Linked DNA regions of Saccharomyces cerevisiae S288C. Changing the gene in region 2 together with the main gene of any one other region gives a genetic interaction. Each region holds a gene or a part of one and is shown on either strand. Other genes may lie near its edges. The genes, in order: ATG2 and PYK2.

Evidence for each region.
Region 1: of PYK2 (region 2) and ATG2, changing one suppresses a phenotype caused by changing the other (phenotypic suppression), as found in Saccharomyces cerevisiae (one study listed by BioGRID).

Annotation. Positions count from the first base shown.
Region 1 is NC_001146.8:189,559-196,769, reverse strand, and holds ATG2 (Atg2p), read right to left. Parts: upstream 5,447-7,211; coding exon 668-5,446; downstream 1-667. Other genes in the region: ZWF1 (glucose-6-phosphate dehydrogenase), read left to right, coding at 1-344; SLA2 (Sla2p), read right to left, coding at 5,813-7,211. UniProt on the Saccharomyces cerevisiae protein: Lipid transfer protein required for autophagosome completion and peroxisome degradation. Tethers the edge of the isolation membrane (IM) to the endoplasmic reticulum (ER) and mediates direct lipid transfer from ER to IM for IM expansion.
Region 2 is NC_001147.6:984,135-988,321, reverse strand, and holds PYK2 (pyruvate kinase PYK2), read left to right. Parts: upstream 1-1,859; coding exon 1,860-3,380; downstream 3,381-4,187. Other genes in the region: proline permease PUT4, read left to right, coding at 1-1,423; REV1 (deoxycytidyl transferase), read right to left, coding at 3,537-4,187. UniProt on the Saccharomyces cerevisiae protein: May be used by cells under conditions in which the level of glycolytic flux is very low.

The DNA.
Region 1 (7,211 bases), on a different chromosome or scaffold from region 2:
GTCTGTCAAATGCTACCCAAGTCACAGATCTGAATCTAACTTACGCAAGCAGGTACCAAGACTTTTGGATTCCAGAGGCTTACGAGGTGTTGATAAGAGACGCCCTACTGGGTGACCATTCCAACTTTGTCAGAGATGACGAATTGGATATCAGTTGGGGCATATTCACCCCATTACTGAAGCACATAGAGCGTCCGGACGGTCCAACACCGGAAATTTACCCCTACGGATCAAGAGGTCCAAAGGGATTGAAGGAATATATGCAAAAACACAAGTATGTTATGCCCGAAAAGCACCCTTACGCTTGGCCCGTGACTAAGCCAGAAGATACGAAGGATAATTAGAAAAATGCAAGCACATTCATTTATCGGCTAAGTCACTGAAATTTTTTTTTTCGAGTGATTTTATCTTGCAAGCTCACTCTCTTTGTTCTTTTCTCCTCTATAATGGCATCTTCCCCCCACCAACTCCTCTCTACTTGCGTGTGTATTTGTTTGTATACATGTGTAAATATATATACATAAAAGAATGTCGTCTCATGTATTTTTTAACTTTTAGCCGCGGTCAGTGACATTTTGGCTTTCCCACCATTCCACGTCTGAAAAAAAAAAAAAAAAAAGAGATAAAATATGAATTGAATATATATCAAAAATGTCTGCAAAAATTTTTACGAATCAGTCCGATTGGACTTGTACTTATCATTGATTTGCTCGTTATGCGTCTTATCCACTTGATTAGCTATTCCCTGTAAAGTCTTAGACACTGCCTCAGTGGCCCCAATTAACGGCCGAATAATTGCCACAGGTGCAGCTCTAGCAACATAAACTGCTGCGGCGCTCGGCCCTCCCCGTTTATCATCCTTCATCTGTCCCTTTGCCCTCCATACCGCATCGTACGCAATATGCATATGCTTTTCTAATGAACTATACGCCTCCTTCAAACCCGTGGGCAGGTCGAGGGGCTGATCTGCGTACAGACTCACTATTGTGGGTTCGTTGTGATCTCCCGGTGAAGACATATCGATGACTACTGCCGTGGGCTCATGATCTCTTATCCTGGAATATTTACTACCAACTAACTGATCCTCCTCGAATAAAGTATCCAAGTCTAATACAGCTGCAGTATCACTGTCTGCACCATCAGCGGAGCCAAATTTCGATGCATCGTACACCCTGCCATTGGAACCAACACCACCGAATAGTTCCTCGGTGTTCTCCAATATCGCCTGTGTCCCTGAAGTTAATTTAACTCCCAATTTCACAAAATCTCCCGTTGTCGTTTTCAAGAAGACATTGCCACCCTTTTTCAGACTCCTTCCCAAATGCCCTTCTTGCCTGTATTCTGACATTAGTACTGTGACTAGGGTCTTCACCCCTGACCCAATCGCCATAAACGATCTGACAGGAGCCAGTCCTTCCAAAACGCCAGGCAGCTGCTTTTTGGTAATATCCGGCGTCCAAATGGCTTTCAGTTTATTATTTAATTCATCGAATCCATTTAATCCATACAGGACTACGCTTTTCAAAATAATCTTGGATCCATCAAGGGTAAAAAAATTCATCAATTCAGAAGTTTGGCCCGATCTTAAACCCGCATAATCAACTTTTTTCGGCTTATAATCTAATCTTAACTTAATTGAATTAGTGCTAAATTTTTGAATAAATACAATATCTGGATACTCATCAATTAATTCAAATCTTTTATCTTTGAACCCTAAGAACCTTATTAGAAACTCTAAAGTGTCTTGATCCACGTGAAGGCGTAAAGGCGCAACATTTAATTGCATGACTAATTCCACTGCTTGCAAAAAGTCGATCGGCCGGATAAATTCCAGGTCCAGAAGAAACATCGGAGAACTGTGTGGCCACGGTTCGTGCTTTAGCAAAGTTACAAATTTATTCCAGGTGGACGTGGGAACATTATCGATAATTTCAAATTCGTAAATGGAAACTACACATCGGTTCAAAACATCTGTGGAATTATCAGAGTTAGACTCATCGGGTTCATCTACTCGATAATTCTTCAAATTGACATGTACTTTGTTCAATTGAATCAGGGCTTTGTAATGCTTAGAAGGTCGCAAATTAACTTTAGAGACATCAGAGAAGGAATTCTGAACCCCCTGGATCTCACCATCAAGATTTCTTCTCAAATCTGTGACATTGTTTTTGTTAGCAGATATATAAATAGAGTCAAAAATATTTGCCTCTGATTGGGGTACATTTGATTTCGAACTGCTTGCTTCCGCTTTACTGAGCTCTTTATCCAGTTTTTCAACAGTATTAGCGATAAATTTCCGCGTATATTTCCAATCATACCCATCGAATAGTTTTATAACAACTTTTTCGACATCTATACTACCCCTTATATCCACATCCCTTTCTTGCTCTTTTGAGGCGATTGGTGGAGTATCTTCTTCTTTTGGCTGAGCAGAGTCTAGATAACTCTCATGGGGAAGTAAAATACCACCTGTGGCAGTTCCAGAGGAACTGTCCATTTCATATGAACCTTGAGAGGATAGTTTACTTCTGGCACCATTGTTGAACTCGTGAGTTTTGTCGAGAAAACTGTCTACCAAATGCACTGAGTCGTAATCATTTTGATGATTGTTCTCCCGGATGAAGGCAGAATTGAAAAGATCACAATCGATGTCTTTGAATACATCGATAGGATTTTTCAACTGCGTTCTAAATTTTTCCTCATCAGGAAACGTCTGAGGATATTTTAAATCAATACAAAGCTGACAAAAAGTTTGAAAAGAATCCGCGCATAATGAAAGACCAACTTGTTCTATTTTACAATCCAATAAAAGGGCACCATCGGATTTGTTTATTAAAAAATTCAAAGTATCTATTTTACCGATTGCAGAGAAACCTTGACCAGCATAAAAATTTATCAAACTAGGCCAGTTCTTATCTTTTTGAATTTTGAAATTCTGATAGTCATCTATTAGGAAGAGTGTATTCGCCTTTGAAAGAAGCTTTGCCTGCGGAATAAATGAACTTCCACCAGTTGTTAGATTGTCAAGTACAATGACCATTACACTTTTTAATCTGAAAGGGTGCAGAATTAGAGAGCAGTCCAGACATTTGAGTTCCCAGGGAAATCCTGAAGTCGGTTGTTTTTTACTAAGCTTTTGTGAAACAGGTTCATCTTTTGAACTGGCATTATCCGGGCCGATGTTTTTCTTTAGTATTTCTAACCACCTTGCATAGTAATGTATGCGAATGTTGTTAAAAATGACTTTTAACTTTCCATTCGCCCTTCTATGAACATATAGTACAGGTTCGTTAACTGCTTTATTCAAAACTACTGACATGATTTCTTGTGGCTCTAATAATGACGGTGTCTTTCTTTCTACCTTTAAGTTCTTTGTAAAATATACAATTTGAGAGTCATCCGTAATCGCAAAGAAATTATTTGATAGTAATGCTTCCACAGAACCAAATTGCGGCCCTATAATTTCTGATACTTTTAACTTCATGGAATCTATCTTGAGAGAAAAATTAGCGGATAAACTCTGCTTGTAAACGAACCTGGAAGAATTAAGTACTCTGACACTTCTCTGCAAAAAGGAGCCTCTCTTGCTTTTAGACTTTCCTGTACATTCACTGTTCTTTGAATCCGTGAAAAGTTTTCCAAACGCAGAAATATCTTCGACTAATTGTACTATTCCAGAATATTCTTCGTTAAATATCACTTCTTTGATGATTGCATGGACAGAACTATAAATTAGCGCTTCTTTCAAAGTATCGTCATATGAACCCAGTTGTAGAGGGGATTGCAAGTTCGAGATCGTAATGCTCGACATTGTCAATATTTTCGTGCACCGAGAAGGTAGTTTTTTAAATACGTCTACAAGCTCAATGTACAACTCACGGTTAGAGTCGTAAATGAAGGGTGAAACCTGGAAACATAATAAAAAATATGGAAACTTAAGCGACAACTTCACTGCTTTTGAGGTAAGTTGTACGGTCCTTTTAGTATCCGATGCTATTTGAGGCATCATCCCTTTTGACTTATTCTGATAAAAGGACATACATTTTGAAACAAACTGAAAGATTTTAAAGAAATGCGCAATGCCATCATGACTGATAATAATATCTAGTTCGTCGCCCATATTTAATGCGATGCTTTGAGGGGTTTGTTCTCCAGTGAGCAATGGCTTAGTTTTATGGCTAATTGTCAATGGACTCGAATTAGAATAAAATGAGCCTAAAGAAAATGCCAATGAATTATTTTCCTTTTGCTCTAATTTAAAGCTCTTCAAAATTACTGTGATATCTTGGCCTAAGTTTAAGTATATACATTTGATATCAACAGAAGAAAGAGCTGATGGTTCCTGCTTGTCAGGTGAAGGACTTTGGGAATCCTGGCAAGAAAAGCTTTCATTGGCATCCAAATGTGTAACAATGATATCTATAATATTCTTCAAAGTGGAGTTTTTGATTTCGACAATTTTGTGTATCGCTAAATGAACATCCTGAATATCAATAACAATATTAGACATTCTGAGATCATTGACCGATGATAAACCCTTAAAAGCTATGTTCAAATTATTTATTTCCATTAAAGATTCCTTGCACTTATCATTCTCTTGTTCTTCTTGTGTAACTTGGGGTTCACTGGGGTCTTCATTTGATTGCTCTTCCATGGCGCTCATATAAAGTGAAGTAGCCTCCATTTTTGATAAATAAACGCTTTGTGACAGATCGTCATTATTGAAAGGATGCACAGGAGAGTCGGGTACAGCTTGTTTTTGTATTGAGGAAATGGTGATATTTTCAATGTTTATATGTCGTAAATTTGCGTCTGTAGTAATAAGTTGTATGCTTTCTAGATGAACCTCCACAATGTTATCGGAAGGATCTCTATCATTCACTATGAAACGTATGGTAACGTCCTTTAATGCTATTTTCAATTTCGCTAAGGCTACATTAAGGGCCTTGTTCCGCATATTTTGAAGAGTATAAGAACCATTTGCGGCTGGTTTTGAAGCTTCTATATTAGAGTTGAGATCACTACTACTGTCTGAAGAGCTAATGTCATCTTCTTTGTACCTATTATATGTGGTCAATGGATCACTAAATTGTAACATCGAATTCGTAAGATCTTGGATGCTTTTAACCAAAAAATCTGAGTGAAGTTCCTGTGAGCCACTGGAATATAAAGGTGTCATGATAAATCTTAAACCAGACCCATCGATTTCCACACCGCCAGAAACTGTTAATTTTAACACAAGCTCGTCAACTATGCCTTCGTTTATTTGCACGTTTGGAATGTTGAGATCATCAAGTGACAGATTCACATCATGGAACGAGAAATGTGACTTAGACCCTATAGAAACGTCCAAGTTAGATAAATCTATATTGGAGAACAGCGAAATTTGCTGAAGGACGTAAAGAAGCAGCCGCTTTTGTATATTTTGAGGTAACCAAAATGCCATTGTATCGAAATCAAAAAAAAAAAGGGTTCCTCTTAATTTGCTTTAATCTTTATGCTTTCCTTATTTTAAACGGCAGTAGAAATTTTGTATGAATGGTGAGTTGAAATAAAGTCGCAAAGATTACAATAGAAGCAAAATGGTAGACTCCTACAGAGATGTGATATGATAATAAGGGTGGGGTGTCTGTTCTTTGTTCCTTGCATATTCATTATCGCGATTATTTCCATTCGCCGCACCAAAAAAAGAAAAAATGTCCCCGGACGAGAACGCATATACCAATCAGATACAGAAAAACGTAAAAGACGTCTTCAAATAAATATATTTATATTAACGTTTATCTTTATATATAAAAAGTACAATTCATGATCAATCATCATCCTGGTTATAGTAGGCATGCCTTCTTATCTCGCCCAATCTCTTCCTGGCATTGCTCAAGGATTGTTCTAACTTCAAAATTTCCACTTGCTGTTCCATTTCGGCAGTCTTCAATGTGTGTTCGGATGTGAAGTCCAATGGTTGCTGCTGTTGCGAAGTCGAATGATCATCTTCAATCATACCCATGACGTGGTTACCCAAACTTCTGCATGCATCGGTAACATCTTTGGAACAGTGTTCCAATTTATCTTGGGCCTTCGAGTGGATGGAAGTTTTCACTCTCGATGCTGCTACCAATTGTATTGTGGATGCGGCCACTTCTTTGGAGGCGACGATAAATTGTTCAGGTGATGTGTTTTCATTGTCTTCAGAAGTGATTAACTTACTAGCAGTAGTGATTAAAACATTGGTTGCACCTGCCACAGCCTTTGCCGCGGAGATCAAACCTTCTGTCCATCTGCTGTTTTTCAAGTAGAATTGGTTCAGAGGAATACTTGTCGTGGTGGCAATTTCATTTTGGCACTGAATAGCAGCCTTTACCAAAGCCACAACAGCATCAATAATCATTAATGCCAATGACAACAATGGTTTAGGAACGTCAACACGTAAGTGTTCTGAGGATTTGACAATTTTGTCAGCAGTGGCAACCAATTCAGAATGTGGGTTCGTTTCTTTATTTGATTTGACAGATTGTATGTTCAATAACGGTTCGATAGCCAAAGATAGCTCTTGCAACTTCTCTTGCATGTCCACGTTGGCATTGATGACGATATCAGTTTTCTCCTCATCACCGACCTGGTTAAGATTTTCAGACATCAAATCCTCGAAGAAATATTGGGCCTCTCTGGCACATCTCTTCACCAGGGTCAAAATTTGATCAGACTGTTCTTGAGGTAATGTAGTAACGGCGTACGCCTTTGAATTGGTCACCAGTGTAGCCATCGAAGTACTGAAATCACTAACGCAGTGTATGACCTCTGTTTGGTCGCCGTGTGCAAGGCCGTCTACTATCAAATTATTGAAACTGGTGGCAAACTCAGTGGCGTTTTCAGAAGTACTTTCCAATAAGGACAAAAGGAAAGTGGGTGGAGTCAGCGGACCCGACCAACTCAAAGGAGAATCGAGATTATAGACCGATTCCTGGATGGTGTTGATACCGCTTTCCAATATGGCATCCAGAATAGGGTTCATTTTATCCTGAGTCATTGTTTCTGCTGCTGCTGTCGCCGCTGCACTGTCCGCCTCTGCATTATTAATGGATCTTTCTAATTCTAACCTTGCCCTGTCACGGTCCTTAACCAACTCGGCCATTTGCAAATCCTTTTGCTTCAATTTGTGTTCTAACTGTTCCTTTTTCTGAATGGATTCCTGCGCACTATTCACCTTTAAC
Region 2 (4,187 bases):
GATCTACCCGATCATGTGCGCGCTGGGCGAAATGGTGTGCTTTTTGCCCGGTGATGGTTCTGACAGTGCCGGGTCGACGGCCAATCTGGTCACTAGGTACGTTGACCCTTCGTTGGGCTTCGCCACTGGGTGGAATTACTTCTACTGCTACGTCATTTTAGTGGCCGCCGAGTGTACGGCGGCATCCGGTGTGGTCGAATACTGGACCACCGCGGTTCCCAAGGGCGTTTGGATCACGATCTTTCTATGCGTGGTTGTTATACTAAACTTTTCCGCGGTCAAAGTGTACGGCGAATCCGAGTTTTGGTTCGCGTCTATCAAGATATTATGCATTGTGGGACTGATCATTCTGTCCTTTATTTTGTTTTGGGGTGGTGGCCCCAACCATGACCGTCTTGGCTTCAGATACTGGCAACATCCGGGCGCTTTTGCGCATCACCTCACGGGCGGATCGCTGGGTAACTTCACAGATATCTACACTGGGATTATCAAGGGCGCCTTCGCCTTCATTCTTGGTCCGGAACTGGTGTGCATGACTTCCGCGGAATGCGCGGACCAGCGTAGAAATATCGCTAAGGCTTCGCGCCGCTTTGTATGGAGACTGATCTTCTTCTACGTTCTGGGGACGCTGGCCATCTCCGTTATTGTTCCATACAATGACCCAACATTGGTAAATGCGCTGGCGCAGGGCAAACCGGGAGCCGGCTCGTCACCCTTTGTGATCGGAATTCAAAACGCCGGGATTAAGGTTCTTCCCCACATTATCAATGGGTGTATCTTGACCAGCGCGTGGTCTGCCGCCAATGCGTTTATGTTTGCGAGCACGAGATCACTGTTGACCATGGCGCAAACGGGACAGGCACCCAAATGTTTGGGCAGAATCAACAAATGGGGTGTTCCATACGTGGCTGTGGGTGTTTCCTTCTTGTGTTCTTGTTTGGCATATCTGAACGTGTCTTCATCCACGGCAGACGTGTTTAATTGGTTTTCCAATATCAGCACCATTTCCGGGTTTCTGGGCTGGATGTGCGGCTGCATCGCGTACCTGAGATTCCGCAAGGCTATTTTCTACAATGGCCTCTACGACAGATTGCCTTTCAAGACGTGGGGACAGCCTTACACCGTGTGGTTCTCTCTCATTGTTATAGGCATCATCACCATTACCAACGGGTATGCCATTTTCATCCCTAAGTACTGGAGAGTAGCAGATTTCATTGCTGCCTACATCACCCTACCCATCTTCCTGGTTTTGTGGTTCGGCCATAAGCTGTATACTCGGACGTGGAGACAATGGTGGCTCCCTGTGTCCGAGATCGATGTTACTACAGGGTTAGTCGAGATCGAGGAGAAATCAAGAGAAATTGAGGAGATGAGATTACCCCCCACCGGTTTCAAAGACAAGTTCTTGGACGCCTTGTTGTAACGCTTTTATGAACATATTCCGATATCTCTCACGATACTAATATTCGAAAAATCTTTCTCCTTCGCCGCGATGGATGGAAGTAAAAACACATATATAAAAGTATAAAATGAATGCTGGCGTATTCTTACATACAAGAGATTTGTAAAAAGTCAATGAAAAGTTCTCCACACGTGTTTTTCTCTTTTACTTTTTTTTTCTTCCTTTTGGTTTCCTTTTTTCTTTCTCGTCGCTTTTATTTAGCGACGCAGCATAGGAAACAGGGGTAAAGTGTCATAACTTTTTAGAGAAAATGATATATCATTAATATGCACACGTTTATATAAATGGAGAAAGAAAACAAAGAACATAAAACATTTTGAAGCAGAGCGGTGAAACGCAACTATATTTTACTTTCATCCTCTACGTCCATTGTAAGATTACAACAAAAGCACTATCGATGCCAGAGTCCAGATTGCAGAGACTAGCTAATTTGAAAATAGGAACTCCGCAGCAGCTCAGACGCACCTCCATAATAGGTACCATTGGGCCCAAGACAAATAGCTGCGAGGCCATTACTGCTCTGAGAAAAGCTGGTTTGAACATCATTCGATTGAACTTTTCCCATGGCTCCTACGAATTCCATCAATCAGTAATCGAAAATGCTGTGAAATCGGAACAGCAATTCCCTGGCAGGCCGCTCGCCATTGCCCTGGATACCAAGGGTCCCGAGATCAGAACAGGTCGCACGTTAAATGACCAAGATCTTTATATCCCCGTAGACCACCAAATGATCTTTACCACTGACGCAAGTTTTGCAAACACCTCCAATGATAAAATCATGTATATAGACTATGCTAACCTGACAAAAGTTATCGTTCCGGGGAGATTTATATACGTGGACGACGGGATTCTCTCTTTTAAAGTGCTCCAAATCATTGACGAATCTAATTTAAGGGTGCAAGCGGTAAACTCGGGTTATATCGCATCTCATAAAGGTGTTAATCTGCCTAATACCGACGTTGATTTGCCCCCCTTGTCCGCCAAAGACATGAAGGACTTGCAATTCGGAGTCCGCAATGGCATTCACATCGTATTTGCCTCTTTCATAAGAACTTCAGAAGATGTGTTGTCTATCAGAAAAGCGTTGGGTTCTGAAGGGCAAGATATCAAGATTATATCCAAGATAGAAAACCAGCAAGGGTTGGATAATTTTGACGAAATCCTGGAAGTCACGGATGGTGTTATGATAGCGAGAGGCGATTTAGGAATTGAAATCCTGGCACCTGAAGTATTAGCCATTCAAAAAAAGCTGATTGCAAAATGTAATTTGGCGGGCAAACCTGTCATTTGCGCGACTCAGATGCTGGATTCAATGACACACAATCCGAGACCGACAAGGGCTGAAGTATCGGATGTGGGTAACGCTGTGTTGGATGGTGCTGATTGTGTTATGCTTTCTGGAGAAACGGCGAAGGGTGATTATCCGGTGAATGCAGTTAATATTATGGCGGCGACCGCTCTGATTGCTGAAAGTACTATCGCTCATTTGGCTCTTTATGACGATCTCAGAGACGCCACTCCCAAACCTACTTCCACTACGGAAACTGTAGCAGCTGCAGCTACCGCAGCAATCTTGGAGCAAGATGGTAAGGCCATCGTTGTATTATCTACTACAGGGAACACGGCAAGGCTACTGTCGAAGTATAGACCAAGCTGCCCTATCATATTAGTAACAAGACACGCAAGAACGGCAAGAATTGCGCATTTGTATAGAGGTGTTTTCCCATTTCTGTATGAACCGAAACGCCTAGACGACTGGGGTGAGGATGTTCATAGGCGCCTAAAGTTTGGTGTTGAAATGGCGAGGTCTTTCGGAATGGTGGACAACGGTGATACTGTTGTTTCCATTCAAGGATTCAAAGGAGGAGTCGGCCATTCCAATACCTTACGCATTTCTACTGTTGGTCAAGAATTCTAGTAAAAATTAAAGTCCTTATTTTTTTTACTTAATTTTATTTAATTGTCCATTGTGTCAGTTATTTTTTTTTTCTTTGGTAATAATCATGCAGATATTACAGGTAATGTTCGCAAACTGCGTGTTTACTGTATGCTGAAATGTTTTTTTTTTTTTAATTCAAACTTCAAAGTCCATGTCAAGTTTACGCACAGTCTGGTAAGTATGTTTATTTCTGTTTAAAAGTGGAATTATATCATTGAGTAAAATTCTTTCCCACGTTTGGAAGCCTGAATGATCCTGATTTAAAAAGGCGCAGAGATTTAATTCCCTTGATATTAGGTTTGATAAATGAAGAACTAAATGGACTCTATTAGAATCGCAAAGTTTAATCAAATATTTCACGAATAATTTAACATCTTTTTCATGCGGCCCTCCATCACCTAAAGTTTCGGCAACCCATTGTTTCACTAATTGACAAATTTTTTTGAACCGTGTCAGATTTTGGAATTTGATCGGCTGGAATATACTATTTTGGCCCATGAAATGATTTTTCTCGTTCTGTAGGCTCTCTTCTCTCCTTTTTATCTTTTCTTGTAGGTTTCCTAACTTTGTCTGTTGGATTTTTTTCTGAATTCTCAAGTCGTGCCTTACTTCTGCTCGAATTTGGGTTGGTAGTTCATTCATAAACTGTTCTTCCATAGTACTGGGCAAATCATTTACTTCTAATCTGGAAATGGCAAATCCTTTTTTTTTAGAGCTCAATGAGTTTGAAGTCAACCCGGATTCTTTTCTCTTATAATTTCTTTTCTCGAACTCGTTGTTAATGTC